Tribolium castaneum: one gene and its partners. The protein of the gene in region 1 purifies or fractionates together with the protein of each later gene. This does not show direct contact. Links are inferred from orthologs where the notes say so. Each region holds a gene or a part of one and is shown in the gene's direction. Other genes may lie near its edges. The genes, in order: Mpp6, Rrp45, Csl4, exosome complex component RRP43, exosome complex component MTR3 and Rrp4.

What was found.
Region 2: the proteins of Mpp6 (region 1) and Rrp45 purify together in Homo sapiens (affinity purification with mass spectrometry; 5 studies listed by BioGRID and IntAct, with this or other methods). This does not show direct contact. The link is inferred for Tribolium castaneum from reciprocal best matches to the Homo sapiens genes MPHOSPH6 and EXOSC9.
Region 3: the proteins of Mpp6 (region 1) and Csl4 purify together in Homo sapiens (affinity purification with mass spectrometry; 5 studies listed by BioGRID and IntAct, counting the BioPlex papers as one, with this or other methods). This does not show direct contact. The link is inferred for Tribolium castaneum from reciprocal best matches to the Homo sapiens genes MPHOSPH6 and EXOSC1.
Region 4: the proteins of Mpp6 (region 1) and exosome complex component RRP43 purify together in Homo sapiens (affinity purification with mass spectrometry; 4 studies listed by BioGRID and IntAct, counting the BioPlex papers as one, with this or other methods). This does not show direct contact. The link is inferred for Tribolium castaneum from reciprocal best matches to the Homo sapiens genes MPHOSPH6 and EXOSC8.
Region 5: the proteins of Mpp6 (region 1) and exosome complex component MTR3 purify together in Homo sapiens (affinity purification with mass spectrometry; 3 studies listed by BioGRID and IntAct, with this or other methods). This does not show direct contact. The link is inferred for Tribolium castaneum from reciprocal best matches to the Homo sapiens genes MPHOSPH6 and EXOSC6.
Region 6: the proteins of Mpp6 (region 1) and Rrp4 purify together in Homo sapiens (affinity purification with mass spectrometry; 8 studies listed by BioGRID and IntAct, with this or other methods). This does not show direct contact. The link is inferred for Tribolium castaneum from reciprocal best matches to the Homo sapiens genes MPHOSPH6 and EXOSC2.

What each region holds. Positions count from the first base shown.
Region 1 is NC_087398.1:4,380,038-4,382,216, forward strand, and holds Mpp6 (M-phase phosphoprotein 6), read left to right. Parts: upstream 1-1,253; coding exon 1,254-1,679; downstream 1,680-2,179. Other genes in the region: Ptpa (serine/threonine-protein phosphatase 2A activator), read right to left, coding at 1-116, 239-581, 631-837, 886-974, 1,021-1,111. UniProt on the Homo sapiens protein: RNA-binding protein that associates with the RNA exosome complex. Involved in the 3'-processing of the 7S pre-RNA to the mature 5.8S rRNA and play a role in recruiting the RNA exosome complex to pre-rRNA; this function may include C1D.
Region 2 is NC_087402.1:3,056,456-3,059,875, reverse strand, and holds Rrp45 (uncharacterized protein Rrp45), read left to right. Parts: upstream 1-1,140; 5' UTR 1,141-1,287; coding exon 1,288-1,362; intron 1,363-1,410; coding exon 1,411-1,505; intron 1,506-1,547; coding exon 1,548-1,991; intron 1,992-2,206; coding exon 2,207-2,428; intron 2,429-2,471; coding exon 2,472-2,731; intron 2,732-2,776; coding exon 2,777-2,850; 3' UTR 2,851-2,920; downstream 2,921-3,420. Other genes in the region: RpL21 (large ribosomal subunit protein eL21), read right to left, coding at 386-865; histone deacetylase complex subunit SAP30 homolog, read right to left, coding at 2,923-3,051, 3,099-3,314, 3,363-3,420. UniProt on the Homo sapiens protein: Non-catalytic component of the RNA exosome complex which has 3'->5' exoribonuclease activity and participates in a multitude of cellular RNA processing and degradation events.
Region 3 is NC_087401.1:17,299,511-17,302,301, reverse strand, and holds Csl4 (exosome complex component CSL4), read left to right. Parts: upstream 1-1,344; 5' UTR 1,345-1,431; intron 1,432-1,487; 5' UTR 1,488-1,644; coding exon 1,645-2,235; 3' UTR 2,236-2,291; downstream 2,292-2,791. Other genes in the region: protein HGH1 homolog, read right to left, coding at 4-1,004, 1,051-1,138. UniProt on the Homo sapiens protein: Non-catalytic component of the RNA exosome complex which has 3'->5' exoribonuclease activity and participates in a multitude of cellular RNA processing and degradation events.
Region 4 is NC_087402.1:7,982,347-7,985,341, forward strand, and holds exosome complex component RRP43, read left to right. Parts: upstream 1-1,291; 5' UTR 1,292-1,419; coding exon 1,420-1,436; intron 1,437-1,489; coding exon 1,490-1,664; intron 1,665-1,708; coding exon 1,709-2,003; intron 2,004-2,049; coding exon 2,050-2,170; intron 2,171-2,217; coding exon 2,218-2,425; 3' UTR 2,426-2,495; downstream 2,496-2,995. Other genes in the region: CycA (G2/mitotic-specific cyclin-A), read right to left, coding at 304-738, 794-940. UniProt on the Homo sapiens protein: Non-catalytic component of the RNA exosome complex which has 3'->5' exoribonuclease activity and participates in a multitude of cellular RNA processing and degradation events.
Region 5 is NC_087396.1:13,656,015-13,658,785, reverse strand, and holds exosome complex component MTR3, read left to right. Parts: upstream 1-1,203; 5' UTR 1,204-1,343; coding exon 1,344-1,506; intron 1,507-1,560; coding exon 1,561-2,246; 3' UTR 2,247-2,271; downstream 2,272-2,771. Other genes in the region: X-ray repair cross-complementing protein 6, read right to left, coding at 1-902. UniProt on the Homo sapiens protein: Non-catalytic component of the RNA exosome complex which has 3'->5' exoribonuclease activity and participates in a multitude of cellular RNA processing and degradation events.
Region 6 is NC_087397.1:170,381-173,341, reverse strand, and holds Rrp4 (exosome complex component RRP4), read left to right. Parts: upstream 1-1,246; 5' UTR 1,247-1,327; coding exon 1,328-1,452; intron 1,453-1,503; coding exon 1,504-1,741; intron 1,742-1,802; coding exon 1,803-1,937; intron 1,938-1,991; coding exon 1,992-2,171; intron 2,172-2,224; coding exon 2,225-2,437; 3' UTR 2,438-2,461; downstream 2,462-2,961. Other genes in the region: Impbeta11 (importin-11), read right to left, coding at 1-458, 511-611, 659-796; uncharacterized protein tyn, read right to left, coding at 2,866-2,961. UniProt on the Homo sapiens protein: Non-catalytic component of the RNA exosome complex which has 3'->5' exoribonuclease activity and participates in a multitude of cellular RNA processing and degradation events.

The sequences.
Region 1 (2,179 bases):
AGGGCCGCTTTTTACTGAGTTTATGTACTGGATGCAAGTGAGGAACATGAAGTCCTCTCCATACTGGTTTAAAATTTGCGGCACCAAAAAACCCGACGGTTCAATGATCGGATGGGCTAAACAAACATAGTGGAAAAAACTTGGATGGAAATTGCGTTAATCTTAATTTTTTTAACTTAAATTTGGCCCAAATTTTTCCGAAGCGTTTTGTAAACCGAGAGTTTTTTTGTTTACTTACCAAACAGCTGCGAGCTGCCCCAAATAAACGGCACAAACTGGTAGTCGTCCAGACTCCAAACGCCGTGACTTCCGGCGGGCTCCATCCGGTAGGTCTTTTGTAATTTCCGCGCCAAGTCCAAATACCGCGTAAAAATGGCACAGCCAGTGGCTGTCTTATCATGTTGTTTCAAAAACCCGATTTTATACAAACAGCACAGGAACATAATGAATGAAATTTCGTGCCCCGTCCCGTAGTCAATCCGTGTGGAATTCCCGAACGATTCCACCAAATATGAAACGATCTCGGGGACGGCGGCATTTAATTCAGTCGGGAGCACATCCTGGAGCAAGACAAGCGACTCCTGGAAAACGCCCGTCAGAATAGAAACAAACGCGAATTTGTGGACCCACATCTCGCAGTTTCTGGTACCAGGTCCTGAACGCCACGTTTCCGAACCTTTGGGGCTGTTGTACAGCGGGCGTTTCGTCGATTTTCGTGTCAAGCTTGTTCAACAACTCGATCACTTTCTGGACTTCCTCGGAGGCGTTTTCGCTCCCGCGCGAATTGCTTTTGCCTTTAACTGCCTCGTTTATGGCCAGAATGAACCCCAAAAATTCCTATGGAATGAGAGTGTTAGATGAGGTCACGCCTAGAGGGAATTGTACAAAATAGGCCTCGGATTTCTCCCAGATTTTCATATCAGCCGGTGTTTTGATCAGTTTTGTGGGGACTTCGAAGACGTGGTCGGACCCCACTGGAACAAGCCGGTGAAAAAGGGGGAAAGAACGATGGGGAAATACCTGTGGTGGCAACGGAGGCCGCCGAGCGGCCCCGCGGGGCCGCAGGCCCGATACCCACCGCGAAAGACTCGGACATAATTGTTCTATTCATTTTATTTGTTTAATAAACACAAATCATAACCTTTCAATGATAAAAATGGCACGTCAAAGTGACAACTGACAGTTCTTCTAACCTAACAAATTATATTTTTTTGAAAAGTGTTTTATACATTGTTTTTCACTGAGCCAAAAGTATGCAAGGGCCTAAACCAGTTCAATTGTCCAAGTCCATCCTGGACATGAAGTTTATGAAACGTACGAAGGAAAGGGTGCTCAAGGAGCAGGAAGATGCCGAGGGCAAAGCCATGTATTCCAATGAAATCACCGACGAAATGAAGAAAAGCGGGACCATTGTATTCACAGAAACGAGTATCTTTAACTGCCGAAATTTAATCGAAGGGCGCTTATCATTTGGTGGCATGAATCCGGAAATAGAGAAACTGATGTCTAACGATTACACTAGGAAGAAACAAGAGGTGGAAAAACGCAAAGAAACCGACGTTAGTGACGCCCAAATGGCTCAGGAATACTCCACTCTAGTTAACACAATGGCAAATAAATTCAGCGGGAAGAAAAACAGAAATAAGCGGAAGTTTATAAAGCCATCTGAAGACTTCTAGTTAACCTAGTTTCGTATTTTGATTACATTGTATAAACTTTTTTTTGAATAAATTGAAGCCTGATATCTTATTTGTGCCAATTTTGTATTTTTAGCTCGCAAATCACCCTTTTAACGGCTGGTTTTGAGCGTAATTATGCGTAAATTGCGACTCATAACAACGTTATCAGCCGATAATTTTGTGTTTACTTGGTTATCTGTTTCTGATTCATTAAAAAAATGCATAGACAAAGCAAGCACGTGCCAAAATTTGCACAAGCTTTCAAACTTCCCGCTTTAGCGCTTGCGCAGATCTGTCGTCCTTTCTTATCAAATCTGTGCTCGTGTTGAATTGGTGAGTCCAATAATCAATTTTTTCCCCAATAGTAAACAAATTTAAATATAAAGTCCACATTTTCCGAGTTCGCATTTGAGATTTTTATGCCGCGAAATCAGTACATAAACACTGACTGACGTAGTTTGAAATATCGCTGAGAGGTTATATAAGATTCTAATTTTAAT
Region 2 (3,420 bases), on another chromosome or scaffold:
ATTGTGGTGGAACAGCATAGGAATAATTGACTGTATGGTGAATTTTACTTGTTTACTTAATTTGTTTTTTACAAACCTTATATTTATTCCAATTAGCAATAATTCTTAGGTGGTAACCAAACCGTGCATCTAATTTAGCGAGTATTATGTCCCCTACACGGTAAAAAAGTAAAATTCACTCTTCTTATTTTGTTAACAAATACTATACAACTTTTAAATATTATATGAGAAACTAGAACATACTGTATAAATGCTGCTAAGCAGATTTTATTTTTATTCTGTAAATATTCGTTAGATATAAATATATTTGAAAAAATGCACTGACTCGTTTCATTTCAAACACCCAAATTTGTTTTATGTCTTTATTACACAAAAGGCGTACAAATTAAGCAATAAATTCATATGGGATAGGAGCCAATTGAACGGCTGGTACTTTCCCACTGACGATGTGTGCAGGCCTTGGCTGTGCTGGCTGTCTCTTCAAATTCACTCGAATGTTCTTCTCCTTAGCTTCTTTTCGCAATTTTTCGTTTTGTTTCACTCTGGTCAAGAAGTCTTGCCTGCACTTGGAGTGATTCACGTGCTCAATACGGATATTGATACGTTTGGGGATAATACGGCCCCCAACACGCTTGTTAACAATCACACCCAAAGCGTGAGCCGTCACATTGAACACACGGCCAGTTTTCCCATGGTACACCTTGTAGGGCATGCCCTTCTGAACGGCTCCATTGCCCTTAATATCCACGATATCGCCGACTTTGTACACTTTCATGTACGTCGACAGGGGGATAACCCCATGCTTGCGGAACTTCCGAGAGAACAGGTCCCGGGTTCCCCTACGATAACCTTTCGAGTTCGTCATTTTTCAGACCTGCAAAAAGGGCACAAGTTATTATAAGACCAATATCTCAACACTGTAACGTTTATTTGTAGTTCAATTTTATCAAAATTATGAAATAAACATGATTTTTGTGCTTAACCTACCTGCCTTACAGAACACGTTTTAAAGAGGAAGAAAATGGCGGACGCAATTTCCGCTTGAGTCTTTTTCTAGCGACCTCTATCCTATTTTATAAATCGTAAATTATTTATTAAATTTGGTTTGTATTATCAAATTGATAATATAACAGGCATTTTGTGGTAAACACCGGTCCATTTGTTGTGCAAAAATGTGTAAAAAGCCACCAAGTGTATTGTTTAAAATATAGATTCCTGTATTGCCGATGTATTTTTTCTAACCACACTTCTTTGTTACAAAAAATATTTTGAAATTTGAAAATAAAAATGTCGAAAGTACGGGAAACACTTATTACAAACTGTGAACGAAAGTTTTTGATGAAATGCTTGTCGGAGTGGAGGGTAAAAGCGGCACATTTAATTTACAATTTAATTCCATCTTCCATTTAGAGGTTAGATGGTCGAAGTTTTGACGAGTTCAGGCCACTAGAGCTGAAATTTGGCAAACAGTGGGGTTCCTGTTACGTTTCTCTCGGCAACACAAAGTAACCTTCACTTATGAAACACTGACTTCAGTAAAGGAATAGAGTTTTAGCTCAAACATCATGCGAAATCCAACAACCCAAGTCTTCACGACCTAGTGAAGGAATTCTAAACATAAATATCGAGTTGAACCCACTGGCAGCCCCTCATTTCGAAGCGGGCAGACAGTCGGAATTGTCAGTGCAGTTGAACCGACTTTTGGAAAAATGTGTTAAAGATTCTAAAGCTGTTGATTTGGAATCATTGTGCATTAAAACCAACGAAAAAGTATGGGCTTTGAAGGTGGATATTAATGTTTTAAACCATGAGGGGAATATTCTGGACTGCGCCTCGATCGCCATGTTGGCTTCTTTGACTCATTTTAGGCGCCCCGATGTCACTTGTGATGGCGAAGAATTCATCATTCACAGTTACCAACAAAGGGACCCCATTCCTACGGTTATACACCACTATCCAGTCTGCATAACATACGCTATTTTTAATGGAGGGTAAAACACCTTTTGAAAATTTAATTGAAAGCTTGTATTATCATGTTATCCACAAAAAATACTTTAGCTGCACGAATTATCACTTAGAATTTTCAATTTGCGGACTTGCTTGTAGGAAATTTAATTCTCTACAACATTTTTTTGCGTGTATTCGCAGCGTTTATCCGTAAAAAATGAGCATTTTATTAAAAGGACTTGCAGTTTTTTTCTCTTAGGGAGTATATTCTTGCGGACCCGTCACTACTTGAGGAAGGTTCCGCAGATGCAATGCTAACAATAGGCCTCAACGGCTTTAAAGAACTGTGTGCCCTACATTTAGGGGGAAAAGCTGAACTTGCACCAAGTATTATCCTGAGTACAGTTTCTAAAGCCACATCTCGAGCTACTGTTGTGATAGAAGAAATAAAAAAATCAGTTAAGGCCGATACTGAACAAAGGTAAAACCAACAACATGTTGCCGAGTTATAAATTAAATTTCAGGCAAGAGAAGGCTTCGGTAGGCTTTCATACTGAAGATAATTTCAAAACAACTCTAGTCTTTGGCCAGAGCCTTGATACATGGCATACGAATAAAAAGAAAAGAAATAAAAAACATAAAAAAGCACAGCCACAATCCCAGAATACGGTCGTTATTGACAAAGGGTCAGTGGAACATGTGCCTCAGACCGAAAACAAGAAAGAAGTCTGGGACGTTGATAATAACAGTGACGATGACTTAATAATAGTCGAAAAACCTAAAGGTATTACTTAACTTAATTGAAACTAAAATCATGTTTTTTTTTCAGTTCAAATCGAACTCCTAACAGACAGTGAGGAAGACGATGTGGTGATACTAGGGCCTGTCAAAAATAAAAAATAACTTGTGGTTTTTTATTAAATGCATTTTTTTCTTAAAGTGTAATAATTTAATAAAACTTCTAAGGACCTAACTTCAAGTGGCGTCATTGTTCACACCGTTCTTTTGGTCAAGCTTATTGCTGTTTGTTTTGACTGTATAAATAAAAAATGTGACAACTTCCTTCTCCTTGACTTGGATCGACTTAAAGTGTTTCATTAGAGTCTGTGAATGTAATAATTAATACAAAACGTGGATTTTAACCGACTCACATCTGCCAGTTGTGCCTTGTTCAGTCCAGGTCTTGCGGAAACTTTGTAGTGCCTTTTGTACCTCCTCAAAGTGTTGACTCCTAGCTGAAACAGGTCGACTTCTGGCACGTCAGTGTCCGTCTCATTGCTGTCATCCTCCGAATCCTTCCTCCTCCTCTTGGTCCTTGCACACTGGATGATCATCTTGTGAAAGTCGCAGATGTAAATATGCTTCGCCTGGCAAAACAACAATAATTTTCCGATTGAACTTTGCGTTCGACTTACTGAATTATCAATACACAAATTTAACCTCCTTTGCGTCACTGTCTTCTGGATGCGCTTG
Region 3 (2,791 bases), on another chromosome or scaffold:
AATTTATTCATCTTTTAAAAACTGCTCATCCGCTTTATTGAAGTCTTCGCTTAAACTTTGGGGCACTTTAAGTGTCTTCAAATCATCTTCTCCAATTTCCTCCTCGGTGCGTATCAAAATATCGACCAAATTTTCACACGCTAAAAGCACCTTTCTGTCCTTTTCCCACTTGTGCAACTCGCGCAAAATCACATAAGTGTTTCTCTCTCTGATAAATTCTCGATTTTTTCTCTTGGCACATAACTGGGTCAAAGCCTCCAGTAACATGCACCTGATATCTGGATCTTCTTCACGCTGTTTCTCCTCCGGGAGATATTGCAGTTCAAGGGGGAGCTTGTCGTTGTCTTCGTCGTCAAATTCCTCGTTTCCGGCCAGGGGGCGGAGCAGCCGGGGCAAGATATCGACATGGGGGCCCAAGAGCAGCTCATGACACTCGGGGTCAAATGTGCAGTTACGCAGGGCCCCCACGACGCCCCCGCGCCTCACGGCCGACTCCTCGAATTCAATGAAAGGCACGAGTTTGTGGATCCGGTCCAGGAAGCGTCTCCGGACGCGCCCACTTTGCGACAAGTTCGAAAAAAGGGGGCTCAAGTAGTGGAGGTTAGCCCCCGCTTTATTGTACTGTTTTTTCGTGAAAATGTCAATCAAATCGTCCAAACTTGCGCTTTTCTCAAGCGCATCAATCACTTTATCGTGATTGGCCCGAGATAAGTTCGATAAAATCATGCAGGAAAAATCGGCGATTTTACTCATGGGGTCCGTCACGAATTTAACAACAGTCGAAGTAATGTCACTCGGGGGGCTCTGTAAAGGGGGGCACCCCACACTCGTGTCCAAATCAAGCAATGCCAGGGCCCCCTTGTGATCAGCAGAGACATTAACAAGGCAAAGTGCCGAGTCTTTGACAATTGTGGCGTTATTATCACTCAAAAGTGTGATTAAGGAGACCAGAAGTGACGGTGTGTTGATTAATGTGGCAATTCCGTCCGCATTCCCCGTCAAACCTACAAAAAAATTACAAAAAACAAGTCTAACCTCGAACCCTATTACCCAAAATGTGCCCCAAAGCCACCGATTTGAGGTCCAAACGGGCCCCCAGATGCACAAACTGCAACAATTCGGCCACGGAATCACCCATTATCAGGCTAAAGCCCCCAAAAAAAAACAAAACACGAGGGGTGACAGCTGTCAAAAAAGTGGGGTTAGGTGGCAAAAAATCATTCTAATAAGTAAGGCATTATTTTTTTAGGTTTATCTCTACGTTGTATGTATATACAGGGTGTAATGAGTAGTTAAATAAACATAACATAAACCAGTTTATTTAATTCTGTAGCCAAATTAATGGTCGTAATTGGTAATTAATGTTAATTAATGAATGAGAAAGTAAAATTTTGCAAATTCGTTTTTTGACAATTGACAGTGACACTTGACGTAACCTCAAAAAAATCAAAAATTTCGTTTTTGTGCTGATTTTTCGCATGTTATAGCTCCTTGTGTGCCTTTGATTGGCTTTGAACGTCGTCTGCCGTGATAATAATATTGACAGTAAAAGGAACACGCAGTTTTTGAAATTTCTTCATGTCAATTGACATTTGACTTAACCTCAAAAAAAATCAAAAATTTCGTTTTTTGTTGATTTTGGGCATGTCATCGCCCCTTGTGTGCCTCCCGGGGCAGCGGCTGTGCCTGTCGGACCCCTCGCACGTGTCCGGTCAAGGCACGTACGAGCGTGGGGGCTACATCTACGCCACCCTTGCCGGTGTTGTGGACATTGTCCCCAAAGACAACGTCCAGATCATTGAAGTGCGCAGTTCCGGGCAGGAAACGCTCGTGCCGTCACAGGGCGACATCGTCACAGCGCAAATTCACACAATCACGCAGCAGTTTTGCAAATGCTACATTAAGTGTGTCGGGGATAAGGTTTTGGGGCGGCAGTATCGCGGGATTTTGCGGAAGGAGGACGTGCGAGCGACGGAGAAGGACCGCGTGGAGATTTACAAGAGTTTCAGGCCCGGGGACGTGATTCTGGCGAGGGTTTTGCCGATCACGGAAGCTCACACTTATCAGTTGTCCACGGCTGAGAATGAGCTGGGGGTCGTGACGGCGCACTCGGAACATGGGGGGCTTATGGTGCCTGTGAGCTGGACGGAGATGCAGTGCTCCAAGACGTTTGTGAAGGAGGCCAGGAAGGTTGCAAGAGTTGTGCCAGAAAGCGTGCAAAATGATGTGAAATAATGTTCAATAAATTGTATTTTTGTTTATTTTAATAAACCCTTTTGCGTCCCTTAAAAGTGCAAAAAAGTTAATTGAACTATTAGAGATAACCCTATAAAGTTTATAATCGTTGGAAAGCTCTTTGGATTATCTATTTTTTTCAAAAATGATTATTGTTCTCCGACTAATAGTTTTCGAGAAAATTGCAAGCAAAAGCAAAAATTGGAAACATTAAAAAAATCATAACTAAAAAACTATCGGGAATTTGGCGATTTTCTCGATGTCAATCGATTTCCCGGATCATTTTGCATAGGTAAGGATCAAAATAGTTCCACTTTTTCGAATAGTTTAGCCGTAATTCGATAAAAATTGAAAAACTTAAAAAATCACGCTGCTTCCTGAAAAACGTGCTCAAAAAACTTAAAAATAAACGCAGGCGCGAAAATTTGAATTTGAACCTAATTCTTTAAATATCTCGGAAACTAAGCGTTGGGCGCAATTTTGTTCTATGAGAGAAAAGATGCAACTTGATGTAGTCTAAGCGACGGTCTGGTTGAAATTGTAATTTTCAATAGTC
Region 4 (2,995 bases), on another chromosome or scaffold:
GACGCTTTTGGCACATCTAAAGGCTCTAGAGAAAAGTCCACAAAAGATAGTTTTCAAGTTATAGGTAAAAATCGTAAATTGAAGTGTTCTCATGTTTTTAACATATCACAACGTAGAGTATGGAATATAATATACGAAATTAAAGCCATAATGAAATTTCCCGCCCCGAAAGTATTTCAAAAAAAGTCAAAGTTGTTAATAAAAAGGGCTTCAATCTGTTTTTTTTTTTTTAATTGAGAATAAATGTCAATGGATGTAAAAAAACTTGGAATAATTTTCTCGTCGTTCTTGAAGATACTTTACCTCATGTTCTTTGAGATAAGCAAAAATGCTATCCCTATACTCCTCCATTTCAAAAAAGACATCTCTAGCATTGGTATTTGTGGAAACCGTTTGCTCTTTGAGCTCAATGTTCTCCACATCTGATTTCTCAATGCTCATCGGAATCTCCGATTTTCTCTTAAGTTGAGGCGCAGTAATTTCCTTCAATTTCTCCAAATTCTTTTTCCTTTCAATTTCGGCAAGTTCTGTCTTCGTGATAAACCTGTCCTCGGCCGTCCCTTTATACACATTACTCTTACTGATAAGTTTGAGCCTTTCATCGATTCTCGCTCTGTATTCATCATCCTCATACACAGTAAACGCCTCAAACTGGGCCACCGGAACCACGACATTCTTCTTATTCTCGTTTTTTTGCCCATTTTCCACCCGGTTTCCCAAAACGGTTGGCTTCTTCGTCTGGCAAAAAAGCAAACGTTTTTCCCATCCAAAGTTACCTCCAACTGTTAATTACCTGTTTTCCTTTAAGGGCTGCGTTATTAACTTTATTACTGTCAATCTCGCCCAGAACGCCCCGTTTTTGCTGGGCAGTCGTTCCCGGTTTTCGGCGCAATTCCGGCACCCGGTTTTCCTGGTCCTGGTGAATTCTTATCGATGCCATTCCTCTAACACACGTGCAAGTTTCTAATACCCGAAAAACGAAAAGTTTGCTGAACCGAAGGCCAAACTGAACCCCAACTTAAACACCCAAGCTACCCCTAACCGACAAAACGACTGTTTTTAACGGCCAGATGCAAAGAGCGCAGAGTGCGGGAAACGAACAGCTGAGAGACCGTTGAAATGACAAACGGGACCAATGGGAGCCCAGATTTAAGCAACGTCACACGAGTGGGGATAACATGTTTTGAAGGGTTTAACGGAATTTTGCACTAAATCAAAAATCAATCGACAATACTTGTTCCCAACCAAATGCCCTATTTGCAAGCAAATGTCTTCATTACAAAAATTGCATTATTCAACCGAATTTACTCGTTTCAAATCAAACGTTTCCCCCACCGTTGTCGGCAACCAATCAAAACTAACGTCATTAATAATGTCAATTGTCAAAAACGAAAAACGTGGTTATAAACAAATTCAATAATGTCAGAACAATACAAGTAATAATTGTAGTACTGTGAATAAATAACAAGGTGATTATCCTATGTTTTAGGATTTTGCACCCCGTCAAGTACTTCCGCGACCACTTGGCCCACAAAATCCGACCTGATGGGCGCGAATTTGGGGAATATCGCCCCATCGTGGTCAATTTGGGCTCAATTTCGACAGCCGATGGGTCTGCGATTGCCAAAGTTGGTCGCACGACGGTAGTTTGCGGCATTAAAGCGGTGAGTGTAATTGGAGGCATTCAATTTGCTAAACCAAACCTTAGGAGTTGTGTCAGCCCAAGGCTGAGGCTGCAAACGAGGGGTTTTTGATCCCCAATGTGGAATTACCACCGTTGTGTTCGTCAAAATTTCGGCCAGGACCCCCAACTGAACAAGCCCAAGTAGCGACCCAGTTAGTTGCCGATATTTTAAAAAACTCTGATTGTTTAGACTTAAAAACGTTATGTATATTTCCAGACAAATTAGCTTGGTGTTTATATGCTGATTTAATTTGTTTGGATTTGGATGGGGCGTTGATAGACGCGTGTGTTGTTGCGTTAATGGCAGCGCTTAAGTCAGGTAAAGACAATATTGTTTTTTTGTGAAAAATATAATTGCGCTTCAGTTACTTTGCCAGCGGTTCAGTACGATCCAGCCCTTGACAACAAGCAAGTGAATGTGCAAGAGAGGAAAGCTCTTAGTGTTACCAACACTCCAATAGCAACAACGTTTGCAATGTTTGATGAGTAAGCTTATCATTGTTGTTGTAAACTTTTTAATTTTTTGATTGTAGTAAAATTCTCATAGACCCAACAGTGGATGAGGAGGACTTAAGTACGTCTTTGGTGACAATTGTGGTGAAGGAAGAAGAGTTGTGTTTTGTTCACAAGCCAGGTGGCTGTGTTTTTACGGAAGAGCAACTTTTAAAGTGTGTGGAAGAAAGTACAAAACGTGCAACTGTGATTGAGGAAATTATAGAAACAGCTTTTAAAAGTTTATAATAAAAACATTTTTTTTTATAAATGTATATCCTATATTATTTAAATAAAAATTTTAACAGGTTCCACAGTAGGTTGTGTGATCATTTAACCGAATTTAAAATTAAATCACCACACATTTATAAAAAAATCTATTGTCTTTGTTACAGGATTGAAAAAATAAAAATCGGGAAAAATCAACACTTTACATTTTAACGAGTATACATATTGGTATTGCCAAATATTCAACACGTGTCTGAATTTATGTACAAAAAATACGAAACATTGCAAATAATATACATTATTACAAAATACTACAACTCACCACATAATCACATATGATACAAATGTAGAGACTAAGGATGTTAGATATTTTTACAAAGTATTTTACACATTTCGTTCAAAAGGGAAATAAGTCTACTGTATGTACAGTTAAAAGTTTGCGCCTAGGACAGGAATGGTAGTAGAAAAATACCAGGAACAATAAATAATAGGGGTTTTAATAAAAATTTGTATATTTTAACAATGTGTAATTTTACATCGTTGATGTTTTATAAAGTATAACATTTTGTCCTCGTTTATGCCTGATATCTT
Region 5 (2,771 bases), on another chromosome or scaffold:
CGTTCACTAACACTGAACTCGAGTGAGCCTAACTCATAGTCAAGCTTGTAGGTTTCAATGGAGTCATTTACTGTTTTTGAAACCTTTTTCAAAAGTTTTCCACTTTCGGAAACGGAAGCGTTGTTGTAAAGTCGTTCCTCTTGGACAAACGACTTCTGCCTGATTTTAAGAAACCGTGTTTGGTCATTCGCAAAAGGGAAAAACAGCAACCTCCTTTGATAAAATCTCCTGACAACTGAGGAAGAAAGTTTCTCAAATAAACCATCTTCATCTTCCACAACTGTCTCAACGGGAGGGCTCTTAATGATTGAAAATAACTCATTGTAGAAAATTTTATAATCGAAGTTGGGCTTCATGGTCACCAACTCGAAAGTGATATCATTAGACTCGAAATTTTTTGCTTCGTTAAGTGCAGCAAATCTTTGGTTCTTGTCACCACGAACGGGGTTATCGTCGTTGGTTATGAAAATGATCGTTCTTTTGTAGAACACCGAATTGACTTCCTTGAACTTTTTTTTGCAAAAGAGGAAAAATGAACTCAAATTTAAGCCGCTTTTTCTTTCATACATATCCAACAATTTTTCCTGCGACAATTCATTCTTTTCTTTAAGCAATTTTATTGATTGTAAGATGTTATCGTTGAAATTGACAAGCGACGCTGAAGCATCTTCACGTGCCAATACCACACCAAAAGGGCTCCAGCTTCGCTTATTTTGGACAAATATTAGCGAATTTGCCAGATTATAACAGGCAGAAATGCAATCCTTAAACGGGGTATTGCCATCGCTTTCGTTTTTAACAAACATCGAAGGGTCGGTATCGATTGCAATGAGGACGAAAGATGGTTTGTAAAACGTGTTAGAACTTGCAGATTCGTCTCCTACGTCTTCGTTATCTGACATCTGAAAAGAATAAGTTCATAAAACATCTTTATTTATAAACGTATTATCAATAGGTAGTAACATTTCTCACCTTGATTAATTAATTAACAGTAAACAATCAAAAAGAACAACAGCAACAAGTTTACACAAAGTTGCGCCAAATTTGACGTTTTGTTGACAATCCCCTTGAAAGCGAACCACCAGAAAACATAAATCCAAAAATGCGAATAAATAAGTCTAACATTTACTCTAACTATATGTTGCTGTACAACGGCACAAATTAATACGCGCCTAACGTAGTTTTTATGAAAAAGAATTAAATTAATTGTGTTTTCTATTATTCGACTTTGTGAGACTTGTAAACCTTGAACTTGGAATGGTTGACAATTAGCTATATAACCTTACTTTTTTCTAACATAACCTTGAACTGAGAGATTTAAAATATAATTTGCAAAATACACTATGCCCGTGGATCACAAAAGAATCAACGGTCCGGAAATTTCAATTCCGTACCAACTATTCGACAAATTAAATACAAAATCGTTGAAAACCCAATTCAGTGAAATAGTGCAGCCGAATGGGACACGAGCCGATGGCAGGACATCAACCGAACATCGAAAAATATGTAATTTGTCTTTAGGCCCTTGCGTGTTCCTTGATCTAATTTTTAATTTTCTAGTCTTGAAAACTGGGGTTGTTAGCCAGGCCAAAGGCTCAGCGTACATTGAATTAGACCAAACCAAAGTAATCGTGTCTGTATTCGACCCCCGCGAGATACCCAACAAAACTGACTACAGTTCCAAGGGCGAAATCTACTGCGAGTTTAAATTTGCACCCTTCAGCTGCCACAAACGTAGGTTGCACCAGCAAGACGCTGAGGAACAACAGTTCAGTGCTATTATGAAACAAGCGTTGGAATCGGCAGTATTCAGGCACGAGTTTCCGAATTTTCAAGTCGATATTTACGCAATGGTGCTGCACAATGATGGGGCTGCTCTAAGTGCGGCTATCACGGCAGCTGGGGTCGCCTTAGCACATGCTGGGATTCCAATGTATGATTTAATAACGTCAGTGACTTTAGCTGTGCAAGGGAATCATCTTTTGGTCGATCCAACTTTAGAAGAAGAACGTTTATGTCAAGTTCCTCTGTTTAAAGAAGAGGAAAACAATCACGGGATTGTTGTGCTGTCGGTTTTAGCGACACATGAGCAAATTTCACAATTTTATCAGAGTGGATATTTGTCGTACGCTTGCTTGAGTTCAGGCATTGAGATGCTTACTAATGCTGCTAAGGACATCGTTACTTTAGTTAAGAAATGTCTTGTGAAACATGTTATTAAGAGTGTAAGAATTGTTGAAGATTAAAGAAATAAATTATATTTTATTTAAATATTTTTTTCACTGTCAAGTAAGGCACTAAAGTTGAATTTTTATTACAAATATGGAGTTAAAAAAACAAAAAAAAATTCGCGAAGTATGAGAACTTTGGGATGTTATGCAACCAATAATACAGACTTTAGTAATTCAGTCTTTTTTAAACACTTTCAACACGATATAATTTATACTGAGAAGTACTTCTTGACATACACTTCAAAGTAGTATTGGAAGAATTTAAGATTTTGCTCAAACAATAAACGAATAAAAAATAATACCTTTTTAATTTTTTTCTTGGTCTCCGTGGTGGTCAAATTCAGAAATTAAACCGTTGAAAGTATAGAAATATGATGTCCTAGACTTTTTGAAAAAAAATTACTTCTTTACAATTTTTTGTATCTTCAACCATATTCGCAGCATTCGCAAAAATATAAAATGGAACGTAAATTGAGCGTTAATTCTTTGCGCACTGTCCCATATTTATCAAAATGCTGGGAATACGGTTGAAGATGCAAA
Region 6 (2,961 bases), on another chromosome or scaffold:
TTTGATGCGGTTTATAAAAACCAAAAACAGTCAATTTGCGTAAAATCCTCAAAGTCAATAGTGCTTTTTCCAAATTTGTAAGAACTAGTTGCGAAGCTGCGCCTTTCATTACATCATTCATAAATTGTTCGGTGAAATTATTCCATAAATTCAACACAAACGAATAAATATTACTGGAAAACTCTTGGAAAAAACGGCGATCGCCTGTTAACCGTTTCGAAGCAATGGCTTTAACTACATGATGAAGAGTTAAAAATCCTCGATGTTGGACTAGAGAATCAGGACTTTCAATTACTTGTAGTAAAGTCGGAAATAATTCGGGCCACTCTTTCGGACAATCAATTCGTGCAATTTTCGAAATTAAAACCGCTCTTTGTACCGCAATCTGACTAACGGGTTCGTTAAAACTTAAAATTAAACCGTGTTTAATGTTTTGTTTTTCTGCCTCTAAAATAGCGCTAGAAATGGACATTAACTTTAGTTAGGTACATTACAACTTGCGTGACTTACTTTGGTGCGTTTTTTCTCCAATATCGTTCAATACCATTTTTTATATACAAAACTGCAATCCACCGTACGTTTATATCAAGCGAGTGGTTAGATAAAACATTCTGAAGAATGGTGTATTATTTAATTGTGTTTTTTGCCCAATACGTACAAATAAAACTGTGTAAAATCCAGGTTGAGTTTCCCATTCCCGTAATTTGGCTTCAGCCGGTTTTAACACTTCTGGATTTTGACTCGAGGCTCTTTGCAGAACTTCAATTACGATGTCTTGTGTTGATCCCGTATTCATTGTGAATTATAATCATTTCCCCCTTGAGAACCACAATTTATTATAATACACAACAATATACGAATTATTTTCAATAAATTTTAACTTGTGTGTAAGACAAATCGCAAAAGTGAGGTTAGAATAATTTAATTTTGATTTCCTAATACGCCTTACATTATGGTAATAACAAATTTAAAATTTTTTCATTTCAATGTGGAAAAGAAAATTTTGCCTCACCTGACCGGTATTATACAATTATTTTTTCTTAAATAAAATTATCAATTGTCAAAACACATATGACATGTTTCAAATGACATGCACGACTACCACAACAGTCATTAAAAATACCAAAAAACAAAAATTTCCTTTTAATAATTAAATTACACATAAAACCGACAAAATAGAAAATTAAAAACAAGTTTCAATAATAATTCAGATTGATAACAGAGAAGTCACAATTTTATATAGATTGCGTACTTGCGTATTGTTGCTTGCCTAACCCAGTAATTGTTGTTTCTAATCTCAAATGCGGTTCGAGTGTTTTGCAAGAACATGCCGCAAAAAATTCACATACGCCTTGCCGCTCATCGCATCAACCCCTCAATTGCTGTTAACCGTCGAGTTCCAAAGATATTTACTCCGGGACAAGTGATTACGGAGCAAAATGAATTTATGAGGTTAGGTTTGTCTCGTGTTTTTTTTTGAAATTTTGCGATTTTTCTAAATAGAGGGCATGGTACGTACGAAGAAGAGGGTTTTTTAAAATCATCAGTTGCTGGAGTTAAGGAACAAGTAAATAATTTGATTTCGATTCGTCCGTTAAAAAGTCGATATAATGGTGAAGTGGGTGATGTGGTGGTTGGACGAGTCACAGAAGTCCAACAAAAACGCTGGAAAGTTGATACGAATTCGCGTCTGGATTCGGTCTTGTTGTTGTCTTCCGTTAATTTACCAGGAGGGGAACTGGTACATAAAAGATTTTTTTGGTCGTTAATTTTGCAAGTAAGTTGGCAATATTAAATTTCAGCGGCGTAGATCAGCAGAAGACGAGCATATGATGAGACAATATCTTCAAGAGGGCGATCTTATAAGTGCCGAAGTACAGAGCGTTTATTCAGATGGTTCTTTATCTTTACATACTAGAAGTTTGAAATATGGAAAAGTTTGTCTCGTGTTTTTCGTTACGTTTTGATTATACGTTCATTTTTGATTGTAGCTTTCTCAAGGTATTTTAGTTAAAGTCTTTCCCTCGCTCATTAAAAGGAGCAAAACACATTTTCACAATTTCTATGTTGGGGCTAGTATTATTTTGGGCAATAATGGGTTTATTTGGATTTATCCAACTGTTTCAAATGCTGAGGATAACGCTGGTGGCTTTGTGCAAAATTTGGAACAAGTTGTGTCTCACAATAGTTTTGTTGTTTTTTTTTGCTACTGTGGTGTTTTTAGGTCGTTTCAAGGCCAGAAAGAGAAACAATTGGACGTCTTCGAAACTGTATTTTGGCGCTTATTCAAAGTAAAATGATGCTGTACGATACTAGCATTTTGTATGCTTTTGAAGAATCACAGAAATATTCAGTGGCTGAATTATTGATTCCTGAAGCTATGGTCGATGTAGCAATTTTGACTCAGGATAGGTTAAGCATGTTGGAAAATTCATAATAAATAGTTTTTTCTTATAAAAAATGTCTATTATTCGACTTGAGAACGTGTATAAAATAATCGATATAAATAATGTTAGCCTAGTCGAGATATATACAAAAAAGTAAATAAATAAAATAAATAAGTACACGAATTAGACTGTTTACCGTTACAAAATTTGCTCTAGGAACGAGAGTCAGTGCAAATTAGTTTTAATAAGAGATCAAGAAAGTATAACTTTTGCAACGGTAAAATAAAGCTTCCATCACCAAGGCCGCCACCTTCCCGAAAAAAAATCCTTAAAAAATACATATTGCATAATGTAGAGTCGGGGAATTCCCTATTTGATATCTCATCTCGAGTTAACGATATCACAGAACTAACAATGCTGCTCGTCAACTCAACCGAAAGATCAAACTTGATTAAAGCACCAAAGTGTCTCTAAATCTTCAAGCGATGTGTTTCCCGGGATTTAACCACTTCTTCATGTAGTAACAGAACAGCGTACTGATGTAAAGTAGAACTAATAAGGCACAAGTCACACC